Oryctolagus cuniculus: one gene and its partners. The protein of the gene in region 2 binds, or shares a complex with, the protein of the main gene of each other region. Links are inferred from orthologs where the notes say so. Each region holds a gene or a part of one and is shown on either strand. Other genes may lie near its edges.

Region 1 (4,063 bases), on a different chromosome or scaffold from region 2:
CTTTTGCTGTTGGTTCACCCTCCAATGGCCGCCATGGCTGGCGCGCTGCGGCCGGCGCACCGCGCTGGTCCGGAGGCAGGAGCCAGGTGCTTCTCCTGGTCTCTCATGGGGTGCAGGGCCCAAGCACTTGGGCCATCCTCCACTGCCTTCCTGGGTCACAGTAGAGAGCTGGCCTGGAAGAGGGGCAACCGGGACAGAATCTGGCGCCTGACCGGGACTAGAACCCGGTGTGCCGGTGCCGCTAGGTGGAGGATTAGCCTATTGAGCCGTGGCCTCCATTCCTGTTCTGTTCTGATGAACCCAACTAGGGGAAAGTGCACAGGCTCACTGTCTGATTCCTTTTCATGTTTTGTGACCAGGACCTCAAAAATAGACCTTTAATTCTGCCAGACAGCATCATACCAAGGATACCTAGTCTATTCACTTTTTCGCTCTCATATATATAGCAGTTTTACACTTTCACAGACACTTAATATAAGAACTTGTAACTTTCCCTCTGTCCTATACTTGCTTTTTATTTCTGTTTCACTAAGAGAGGTGGAAATAATCAGAAGACAACATCAGCATAGTCTTGCCACCAAATCTTAGTACCTGCTGCCATCTACATCTACCTTATTGTTTTCTTGTTCTCTGTTACCATAGTCAATCCATGCTATTTATAACCTCTTATGAAAACTTAACAGTTTTCCACTCTTAGATGGTATCATTTCCAGCAGCATACAGATACACTGTTACTTCTCTTTTCAGAAGAAAAATTGTCTCTTGATCTGTCTCCTTGAATCACATGTCCATTTCTTTATTCTCCTTTGAAGCAAAACACAAAAGAATAATCTGACACTATTGGTGTAGCTGGTAAGGCCACTGCCTGTGGTGCCAGCATCCTATATGGATGCCCATTTGAGTCCCGGCTACTCCATTTTCAATCCAGCTCCCTGTTGCTGTGCTTGGGAAAGCACCAGAAGATAGCCCAAGTCCTTGGGCCCCTGCACCCAAGTGAGAGACATGGAAGAACCTCAGGGCTCCTGGCTTCAGACTGGCCCAGCTCCAGCTCTTGCGGCCATTTGTGGAGTAAACCAGTGGGTAGAAGTTCTCTGTCTAGCTCTACCTTTTAAATAAACAAATAATCTTTAAAAAAATTTTTCTGTTGAACTCATTCAATCATGGTTTTGCCTCTGCCACTCCACTGATATTAGCCTCATTCAGCTTATGAAATGACCCCCTTGTTGTTAAGTTCAGTGATCTCTTCTAGGAACTCTTCCTCCTTAATACACATTCTCATTTTAATTTGAGGACACCATTCTTACCTGACCTCACTGGTTGACCCTTCTTTATTTCCTTTGCTGATTCTTCCTTTTCTTCTTGACCCTTTTTGGTTAGAGCTCTACATTTGCTCCCTTGGTAGTCATTTGCGGAAGTCTTGTATTTTTAATTGATATATATATGGATATATACAGAATCTGAGTGTATCTTACTATTTTATACTGCTACCACCCTGGTTTGAATCATTATTCTTTGTAGCCTGGGTACTCTGTTAGTCACTCAACAACTATCTTTGATTATCCCTTTCTCCTTCCCAAGCAATCTCCTCTTCATATAGCAGCCAGGACAAACCTTTTTGAATAAGTTGCTCCTTTGTTCAGTACTCAGTAAGAGTTTGTAGTTTCATTAGGATTAAATATCCAAAGCCTTGCCTACAAGGTCTTCCTAGTGATCGTCTTTCCCATCATCCTTCCTCAGCAACTTTTCCCTTCGTTCACTGTGTCACAGCTTCCCTTTTCCTTCTGTGTATGGCAACCATGCCCTGCCTCAGTTGGTGTAGCAGTATCCTCTGACAAGAGCAGTTTTTTGCTCGGTAATTAATATGATTATCTCCTCCTTTTCCTTCAAGTTTTGTTAAGATCTGACTTCCTCAGTGATACCTTACCTGACCACACTACTTTAAATATGCAGCCAGTCTCTTCTCCCAAACCCTCCCCTAACACGGGCAATTATATATTGATCTATTATGCCAATTGTCTGCCTCCCTCCAGTCTGCCATCTTCAATCAGAAAGTTTCATGTTGTTAGTGATAATTATTTGTTCATTGATCCATCTCAAGCACCTAGAACAGTGCCAGACGTATAATAGGCACTCCGTAAATGGTGATTTTGAAACTGCTTTTCATACTGACATTTTATTCCCTGGCCACATAAATGGAAAAGTAGTTTAACTTAGGGGCATGATGAATTCAAAGCATTTTGAATTGAAACAGTTAAAAGCAGAACATTTTTATTTGTTAATACATGGTGTTACTAATGCTGTATGACTGTTGAGGGAAGTAGTCCTATTGTATTTTTCACATACATATTTGTTTTGGTTTCCTGCTGTTTAACTCATACTAAACCCAAGAAAAGGAATTAGAAGTAAAGAGGCTCATTTTATATTTTAAGTCTTTGTTTCTCCTGATTTTTCTGAAATAAAATTAGATATATTTTTTTCTACTTTGGACTTCAAATTGGTTTTTTTCCCCCTTTTTCAGAAATCTCTACCCCAAATTTGCGTCACCTTGGGCATCTTCACCTTGTCGACCTCAAGACATAGGTAGGAGAATCTATTTGTGTTGAGATCTTTTAAAAAGATATTTACAACTGAGAATCAGTTAATAAGGCTTTTTTCATTTTATTATCCAGACTTCCATGTTCCATCTGAGTACTTAACGAACATTCACATTAGGGATAAGGTGAGTGTAGTTTATTATTCTACTCAGTCAGCATGAATTTATTTTCCAGGTACTGTTTTTCAGTTCAGATAGCATAATATTTTTTAAATAATTAGTGTTCTGAGGGGTATGCTTTTGTATGTTCAGTTACATGTAACAATTTTACTTATTTTTGTTTATGCTAATGTTGATGATGTTTTCTATTTTAAAAACAAAACAATGATAGGACTGGTAAGCTATTTCTTGAATTAAATGACAGGGTACAACCATAACCACAGTTGATGGGAATAAGCTAATTTGATAAATTTCCTTCTGATTTTCTCATTTTATACACTTGTCAATAAGAATGATTTTACTTTACACATATTAACAGATTTGGTAATTTTAGTGAAGCATTATATATATATTTTTATAAAGTATTTATGACTTCTGGCTTTTTTCCCTGTATTTTTCTTTTTTTTAATTACCTAAAATTCTAATTGTATAATAATTAATCTTACTCTGTCTTTTTTCATCTAAGGAAAAAAATGCTAAACATTTTTCCTTGGAAGAACCAAGAGAGTTTATTTCTGTTAGGAAAAAAATGGTATCTAAATTTTTGCCTGGTGAAAGGATATGATTTAGTGAGAAAACAGAAGAGAGAGGACTTCAAAAAGTTCATGGAAAATGCACATTTTTTTTCTTTAAGATATATGAATGAAAGAGTTAGAGAGAAGGAGAGAGATCTTCCATCTGCTGTTTCACTCCACAGATGCCTACAATGGCCAGGGCTGGGCAGGCCAAAGCCAGGAGTCAGGTCTCTCACGTGGGTGCAGGAATCCAAACACTTGGGCCATCTTCTGCTGCTTTCCTAGGAACATTAGCAGGGAGCTGGATCAGAAGTGCAGCAGCTGGGACTCGAATTAGCACTCATATGGGATCCCAGCATTGCAGGTGGTGGCCTAACCCACTACAGCACAACGCCTGCCCCAAAATGTGCATATTTTGAAAAAACTATGCATGGGTTTCAAAATTTTTTGCACCAAAATAAACTTACCATCTAATTCTGTTCTGTGAACTTTTTGATGTACCCTCATATTTATGTTATACACATGTGTGTGTGTTTGTATGACAGCATTCTCAGTCTGTGCCATATAGGCAAGTAAAGGAATATGATACCTAAATAGATGGAAAGCAAGATTTATGAGATAGAGAAGCATCTAGTATTTTCTCTTTGTGGAGTATGTGATTTGCTGCTGTCTCTTCTTACTATCTCCACTAAAGATCTCTTTTGCTCCCTTTACCTAAGTTTCTAGACCCTTTTCTTACGCCAATTTGAAAAATGCTAATTTAGGAGAATTTGTTGCATGAAGGACTGCTGCCTGA
Region 2 (4,063 bases):
ATTAGGAATGTTAGTCTTAGAGAGTAAAGGACCCAGCATCTTAGTCTTTTTAGCTTCCAAACATTCTGCACCTACCATTCTAATTTGTTCATCATCTCTCCTCCTTATGTTATCCCCCTTGTCTGGCATACGATAACTGTTCAGAGAACTTAAATTAAATAATAAAGTAAAACTTAATATTTACATGAAGGTTTTACTGAAATTACATTTTTGTTTTCTGTCACGTGTGTGAATAAGTAAAGTTATTTTTCCTACAGCCTTGTTTTCTGTCATGTGCTATAATGTTCTTTGTGATAAATATGCGACCCGGCAGTTATACGGCTATTGTCCATCATGGGCATTAAATTGGGACTACAGGAAAAAGGCCATTATTCAAGAAATCTTGAGCTGCAATGCTGATATCATAAGCCTTCAGGTAAGTCGTACAGAAGTTGTATAAATAAATAGCATAAATTCCTCAGCATTAATAAAGCAAGGTTCAGGTATACTGGTAGAAGTACATGGGCACATTTGAAGTCATAGCTTCAATGGTTCTTAAAATACTGCCTATTTTCTTCTTTTATTGAACTTTTTTTTTTTTTAAAGATTCTATTGATTTATATGAGAGGCAGAGTTACAGACAGAGAGAGGGAGACACAGAAAGGTCTTCCATCCACTGGTTTCATTCCCCCAAATAGCCGTAACAGCCAGAGCTGGAAGCCAGCAGCCTCCAGGTCTTCCATGTGGATACGAGGGCCAAAGTACTTGAGTCATCTTCTGCTGCTCTCCCAAGCCATTAGCAGAGAGCTGGATTAGAAGAGCAGCAGTCTCGACACAAACTAGCTGTACCTGCTTCGGTTTGTAGCCCAGCACTGCCAAAGCAAATAGGTTAAGCTGGGTTATAATCATTTGCTCTGACAGCTAAATACTCACCTTCTGTCTCACTCCAGTGTCCCTATACACTTTTTTAATTGAATGGCAAAGTCATTAAAATTGTGATATTGCCAAGGTATAATTTTGCCTTGTCATCAGAATAATTAGGGCATAGTGGTCAAAGGATCAGACCTAGCATGTGCTATCATTGGGTTTCCATTACTTCTTTCGTAAGGACATGTGAAATCCTGGGCAAGTCGCTTTCTCCTCATGGATCTGAAGTTGTGATCTGTGAAGCTCTGTTCAACTCTTGATTCTTAGTTCACATTGGTTTGACATTTATAGGCATATATGATTGTCCATTCCTTACTCCTGAACAGTAGGGAATTGACCCTGGCAACTAGTATCTGTAAAACGACAAGTAGATATTCAAGTTTCGTTGAAATGATATTACATTTTTTAGTTTACAGATCTGTCCTTTGGAGTTACTTCAGGCTCTCAAACTATTCATATAAAGTTAGTACCTAGAACTGATTTTTGTCTTGTGTAATAACTTTGCCATTTACCATTTTTCAGGAGGTTGAAACGGAACAGTATTACAGTTTCTTTCTGGTAGAACTGAAAGAACGTGGGTATAATGGATTCTTTAGTCCTAAGTCTCGAGCTAGGACAATGTCAGAACAAGAAAGAAAACATGTTGATGGTTGTGCAATATTCTTCAAGGTAGAAAAGTAAGTCATCTTAAAACTTTTTTTATAAAGATTTATTTATTTATTTCTGGGGTGGGGAACCTTTTTTCTGCCAAGGGCCATTTGGATATTTATAGTACCATTCATGGCCCATTAAAAAAATTTTTTTTTTTAATTAAAGACTGATTTATTTATTTGAAAGGCAGAGAGACAGAAGTCTTCCATCTGCTGGTTCACTTCCCAAATGGCCACAACGGCTGGAGGTGGACTTGATCTGAAGGCAGGGTCCAGGAGCTTCTTCCGGGTCTCCCAAGCAGGTGCAGGGACCCAAGGACTTGGGCCATTTTCCACTCTTTTCCCAGGCCACAGCAGAGAGCTGGATCCTAAGTGGACCAGCTGGTACTCAAGTCGGCGCCCATATGGGATGCGGGCACTGCAGGAGGTGGCTTTACCTGCTACACCACTGTGCAGGCCCCCTGGGCCATAAAAATATCAGCAATTAGCCTGCTATAGATTTACTGAATTTCAAGTCCCGCCTATGATTGCCTTGGGAGGGTCAGACCAAATGATTTTGTAGGCCAGACCGTTGATTTATTTGAAAGGCAGAGTGACAGAGAAGGCACTCCCCAAATGCCTGCAAAAGCTGGGACTAGACAAGGTGGAAGCCAGGAGTCTAGAACTCCATTCTGGTCTCCCTCATGAGCTGATCATTATCTGTTGCTTTTCCAGGCACATGAGCAGGAAGCTGGATCAGAAGAGAAGCTGGTGCTCAGCTTGGCACTCTGATATGGGGTCATGGCATTGCAAGCAGCAACTTAACCTGCTGTACCACAATGTCAGCCCCTTCATCTTGTTTTCTAAAAAGAAAAAAGTTCTCAAGGGTCATTATTTGATAAATAACAGAAATTTATTACTCAAGAAAACAATGCTATTGATTTAGGGGTGTATTTTTTGCCTTCTTAAAAAAGATTTATTTATTGGGGCCCTCATTGTGGCATAGTGGGTAAAGCTGCTGCCTACAATGGCAGCATCTCTTATGGGTGTATTAGTGTCCTTCCTGGCTGCTTCACTTCATCCAGCTCCCTGCCAATGGCCTGGGAAAAATAGCAAAAGATGGCCTGACTGAAGCTCCTGGGTTTGGTCTGGCCCAGTCCTGGCCATTGTGGCCAACTGGGGAGTGAACCAGGAGATGGAAGATCTCTCTGTATCTCCCTGTCTGCAACTGAAGTTTTCTAATAAATAAGTCTATTTTATTTTAAAGATTGACTTGTTTATATATTTGAAGAGTGGAGTGAGAGAGAGAGAGGGATCTTCCATCTGCTGGTTCACTTCCTAAATGGCTGCAGCAGCTGGGGCTGGGCTAAAGCCAGGAGCCAAGGAATCCCTACATTTCTCCCACCTGAGTAGCAGGAACTAAAGTAGTTGGACTATCATCCACTGCATCCCAGGTGCTTTAGCAGGACGCTGAATCAGAGTGGAGTAGCCCAGACTTAAACTGGTGATCTGATATTGGATGCAGGCTTCCAAAGTGGTAGTTTATACTGCCATACCACCACACTTGCCCTGAGTTTGTTTTTATGTATTAAAAATAACCTTGTTTTGCAGAGATGTTTAAAGTGCTGCTGTTTCTTCAGGTGTTTACTAGGATTTAACTCCAGTTGTTAATTGTAACTAACCATGTAGTTAACATTCCTCTAGGATGGTAGAGGGATTCCTAAACCCATATTTTGGGAAACAATTGTTTAAAAATTACAAAATGGGATATACCAGTATTGAAATCTAAAAAGAAGATGACTACATTATCTTATAAGATTTTAAAAAAGTTATAAAGATTTTTTTTTTTTTTTTTTTTTTTTTTTTTGGACAGGCAGAGTGGATAGTGTGAGAGAGAGACAGAGAGAAAGGTCTTCCTTTTCCCGTTGGTTCACCCTCCAATGGCCGCCGTGGCTGGCGCGCTGCGACCAGCACATTGCGCTGATCCGAAGCCAGGAGCCAGGTGCTTCTCCTGGTCTCCCGTGCGGGTGCAGGGCCCAAAGACTTGGGCCATCCTCCACTGCACTCCCGGGCCACAGCAGAGAGCTGGCCTGGAAGAGGGGAAACCGGGACAGAATCCGGTGCCCCGAACGGTACTAGAACCCGGTGTGCCGGTGCCGCAAGGTGGAGGATTAGCCTATTGAGCAGCGGCGCCGGCCAAAAAAGTTATAAAGATATTTCAAGGTGTTATTTGTGTTGGTCACAAACTGAGAAGAGCTTTAAATGGATGTGGGATACTTGATAATAGTTTGGAAGGTTTTCCAAAATTTGATTTAAGTGGTAATCTGTTAAGGGAGTTTGAGTAGCTACATTTCCCACATAGTTTTGGTAATCCCAATTTATGTTTGTGTGTGTGTGTGTGTGTGTGTGTTTGTTTTTGTTTTAGATTTACCTTGATTCAGAAACACACTGTTGAATTTAATCAGCTAGCAATGGCAAATTCAGAAGGGTCTGAAGCTATGCTGAACAGAGTCATGACAAAAGATAAC
Region 3 (4,063 bases), on a different chromosome or scaffold from region 2:
ATTTGAAAAGCAGAGTTAGGGACGGAGAGAGAGATCTTCAATCCATTGGTTCACTCCCCAACTGGCCACAATGACTGGGCCAGGCCAAAGCCAGGAGATTCTTCTAGGTCTTCGATGTGGATACAGCTTCCCAAACACTTGGGCCATCTTCCCCTGCTTTCCCAGGTGCAGTAGCAGAGAGCTGGTTTGGAGGTGGAGCAGATGGGACTTGAACCAGCGTCCATATGAGAGACCAGTGTTGCAGGTGGTGACTTTACCAACTGTGCCACAACGCTGGCCCCAAAGTGAAGTTCTTAATAGTTACTAAAACCTTTAGTTTGGCTGATGGTGCCGCAGATCATAGAATTTTCAAATGCCAAATTTAGTTACACCGGTCATCAATGTATTTATTTGGCTAATTGAAACTTACTTGTAATTTAGTCTTTAAAAATATGGGGGTTGAGGTAGCACATAGCAAATGCTAGTTTTACCAGATTCAGGTTAATGTTTAAAATTAGCCACTGGAGAAATTGTTGTGCGTTTCTGTTTCCAGGGTTTTTACCTCCTATAACTCCACCGGAAAAGTTCTTTCTTTCCCAGCTGATGCTGGCACCGCCCAGGGAACTCTTCAAAAAGACCCCTCGCCAGATCGCGCTGATGGACGTCGGAAACATGGGCCAGTCTGTGGACATCAGCGGACTTCAGCTAGCCTTGGCGGGTGAGCCGTGGGCCTCCGGGGGTGGTAGTGCTGGTCCTCTTAGCTTTGCGTCTCTACTTCCATAAAAAATGTCGTTTCAGCACAGGCTCCTGAGGGCACGTCCTGTTTTGATGCTAATGGGGCCTCTGAGAACATTTTGAGTTTTCACTTGAAATGACTGCTTTTCCCGTTGTAGAGGAATGCTGGCTAACGTTTAGTTTCTATTAAAAATAATCCTGTGATTGAAGACTCACTTGTTAAGGTGTCAGTACTACCCAAAACAATCTACAGATTCAGGGCCATTCCAGTCAAAATCCCAGCAACATTTTATGCAGAAGTAACAAAAATCCAAAGGAATTTCAAGAGACCCTAAGGAGCCAAAACTGTTTTCTTGGCATCCTTGTCGAAAGTCCTTCTCTCCTGTTTGCCAGGGTTTATTTCTGGGCTTTCTAGTGTGTTCTCTTGGTTTGTACTTGTGTGTCTTTTTTGCCAGTACCACACTGTTTTGATTAGTGCAGCTTTGTACTAATTTTTGAAATCAGGAAGTGTTAACACTTCCAATTTTGTTCTTCTTTTTCAGGGTTGTTTTGGAATATTCTGTGCTACACATAAACAAATGAATGAGGGTTCTGAAGCAGACAGTGGGTGATGACAGAAAATAATAATAAGACCTGCTGTAGCTTCTGTTCAGGGTCAGGCTGTCTGAGTTCTGAGAAATCAGAGGATCTTTGCTTGCCTACTCTACAACACAGCTCTTGTCACGCAAGAGGGATTTACTAGGGCAGTTATTACTTTTAAAGATTTATTTATTTATTTGAAAGGCAGTTATAGAGAGGCAAAGAAAGAGAGGTCTTCCACCCACTAGTTCACTAGTTCACTCTCCACATGATCACAATGGCTGGAGCTGAGCTGATCTGAAGTCAGGAACCAGGAGCTTCCGCTGGGTGGGTGCAGGAGCCCAAGGACTTGGGCCATCTTCTACTGCTTTCCCAGGCCATTAGCAGGGAGCTGGGTCGGAAGTGGAGGAGCAGCCGGGACTAGAACCGGTGCCCATATGGGATGTTGGTGTTGCAGCTTTGGCCGCTGTGCCACAGCACCAGCTTCTCACTTGGGCAACTGTAACATGTCACTAGATTTGCAAACCCTTGATATTGTGAGTGAGCTGCAGAGTAATGTTGACAGTGCCCTATCCTCAGACCCCATATAGCACACACTGGGCTTCTAATACAAGGCCACGTGTTGTAGTAACTTACTTCTCTTTGGAACAGTCTGAACAGCACTTTTTAACTGGAGTATATCAGTATACCAATGGTTATTTTCTGAAAGCAAGAGAAATCTTCTTAAGACTTTGAAGGCTGGGGCCAGTGCCGTGGCTCACTTGGTTAATCCTCTGCCTGCAGCGCTGGCATCCCATATGGGTGCTGGGTTCTAGTCCCAGTTGCTCCTCTTCTAGTCCAGCTCTCTGCTGTGGCCTGGGAAGGCAGTGGAGGATGGCCCAAGTGCTTGGGCCCCTGCATTCTTGTAGGAGATGCGGAAGAAGCTCCTGGCTCCTGGGTTCGGATCCGTGCAGCGCCGGCTATGGTGGCCATTTGGGGAGAGAACCAATGGAAGGAAGACCTTTCTCTCTCTCTCCCTCTCACTGTCTGTAACTCTACCTGTCAAATAAATAAAATCTTAAAGACTTTGAAGGCCAAAGGAACACAAAAATACTCGTTAGCCTCTAGTGCCAGATATGATCTACTAGAAAGCAAATGGTGGTTTCCTTAACCAGAGATAGTATGAAAACTGGCTGGTGCCGAGGGGATAGGCAGCATTAGGCAGCTCCCCCTCTTAGCTGATGTGTGTTCTGAGGGTTCTTTCTATGTCTCTGGGCTTTTTCCTCCATTTGCCTTATGGTCTTTCATGGACTTTTGTAGCTCCTTAATGAGGATTGAGCCTTCTTTGTTTAAAATGACACAATCCAGACCACAGCTGCTTGGAGGGCTTGTCACGCGGTAAACCACAGCAGCGGCCAGCCCAGGTTAGGGAATGGAGGCTGCTGCCTGCTGCCCCCTCACCCCCCATCACTAGCCTGACGTCCGTCCATGATACGCTGTCTCCGTTTGCTTGCCGGCCTTCCCGCCTTCCCCCCCGCCCCTGCCTACTTCATGCACTGGGTACAGGTTTCCTCACTGGGCCTCTCCTCCTGTTGAGTGTTGAGCTCGGAGTGCAGGGTGGCGCCGAGTCTCTGCCGTGGCTGCCTGTCACTGCTGTTGGTATGTTCGTGCAGTAGGATATCGGTTGTTTAAGCTGCGAGCATTGCCAAGACTCCTGTGTTTCCTCTTGGAAAGATAGGCACGTGTCACACTTCACTAGGTGTGTTACTCAGCTTTTTGCTACGTTAACAAAATACCTCACACCTGTTCCTTAGAAAGAGAAGTGTATTTACCTCATGGTTTTGAAAGCTTATGTGGCACAGGGTCTGGTGAAGGTGTGGCGTGTGTGCCAGGCTTGCCCCTTTTACAGTAACCCTCTCCTGAGAACTCAAGGGTCCCGGGGATCCAGATCCCCTCTGAAGGCAAATCTCCAGTGACCCAAGGATCTCCTGCTAGGCCCTGGGGACCCAGCTGATAACACCTTCTAACTTTTGGGGACCCTTGGGGGATAAACCAAATCCACATCATAGCAGCAGGTAATGTCACACTGTCCTCCAAAGTCGCCATGCCTTTTTTCATCCCCAGGAGCAGTGTGTGTGACCCTATGTCCTCTGCACTTGATAATAACACCCTCATTAACTGGTCAGTCCTGGTGAGTGTGTGTTATCCTGTGCTTTAACTGAATTCCCCTAGGTTCCTATGGGATTAAATAGCTTCAACTGTTTATTAGTCACTTAAGCTTCCTTGTAAAATGCCTGTTCATTAGTCTAACTTTTCCTGTTTTTTTCCAAGTTGATTTGTAGCAGTTTAAGAATATATTATGCATACACAGAGTCTGGCCCTTTGGCCTTTTATCTTGGTGTGTTGCAGACAGCTTCCTCCGGTTAGTCTGTCTTTTCTATTGCCTCTTGGTGCCCTCGGTTTTACAAGTTTCCTCCTGTACCCTTTTCCAGAACGCCAGTCTGAATTGCCAACCCAAAGCAAAGCCAGCTTCCCTAGTATTCTCAGTGACCCAGACCCGGATTCTTCCAATTCTGGATTCGACAGCTCAGTTGCTTCTCAGATCACGGAAGCTTTAGTCAGCGGACCAAAGCCACCTATTGAAAGTAGGTATATGTATAAAGTTATTTCCTGCTCTTGGTTTTATGCTACCAGTGCCCCTAAGACTTTGTTTTTTGAGGCACTTTATATCTTTATTGCTATTTAAACTTCAACTTACTATGAAACTTCCTAGTAGGCTGTCTGTAACAGC

What was found.
Region 1: CNOT6 (region 2) and CNOT2 share a complex: the UniProt entries of both Homo sapiens proteins name them as parts of the CCR4-NOT complex. The link is inferred for Oryctolagus cuniculus from reciprocal best matches to the Homo sapiens genes CNOT6 and CNOT2.
Region 3: CNOT6 (region 2) and CNOT11 share a complex: the UniProt entries of both Homo sapiens proteins name them as parts of the CCR4-NOT complex. The link is inferred for Oryctolagus cuniculus from reciprocal best matches to the Homo sapiens genes CNOT6 and CNOT11.

The regions. Positions count from the first base shown.
Region 1 is NC_091442.1:72,885,006-72,889,068, forward strand, and holds part of CNOT2 (CCR4-NOT transcription complex subunit 2), read left to right. Parts: intron 1-2,518; coding exon 2,519-2,580; intron 2,581-2,669; coding exon 2,670-2,719; intron 2,720-4,063. UniProt on the Homo sapiens protein: Component of the CCR4-NOT complex which is one of the major cellular mRNA deadenylases and is linked to various cellular processes including bulk mRNA degradation, miRNA-mediated repression, translational repression during translational initiation and general transcription regulation.
Region 2 is NC_091437.1:66,992,673-66,996,735, reverse strand, and holds part of CNOT6 (CCR4-NOT transcription complex subunit 6), read left to right. Parts: intron 1-257; coding exon 258-415; intron 416-1,428; coding exon 1,429-1,583; intron 1,584-3,960; coding exon 3,961-4,063. UniProt on the Homo sapiens protein: Poly(A) nuclease with 3'-5' RNase activity.
Region 3 is NC_091433.1:107,378,991-107,383,053, reverse strand, and holds part of CNOT11 (CCR4-NOT transcription complex subunit 11), read left to right. Parts: intron 1-532; coding exon 533-697; intron 698-3,764; coding exon 3,765-3,917; intron 3,918-4,063. UniProt on the Homo sapiens protein: Component of the CCR4-NOT complex which is one of the major cellular mRNA deadenylases and is linked to various cellular processes including bulk mRNA degradation, miRNA-mediated repression, translational repression during translational initiation and general transcription regulation.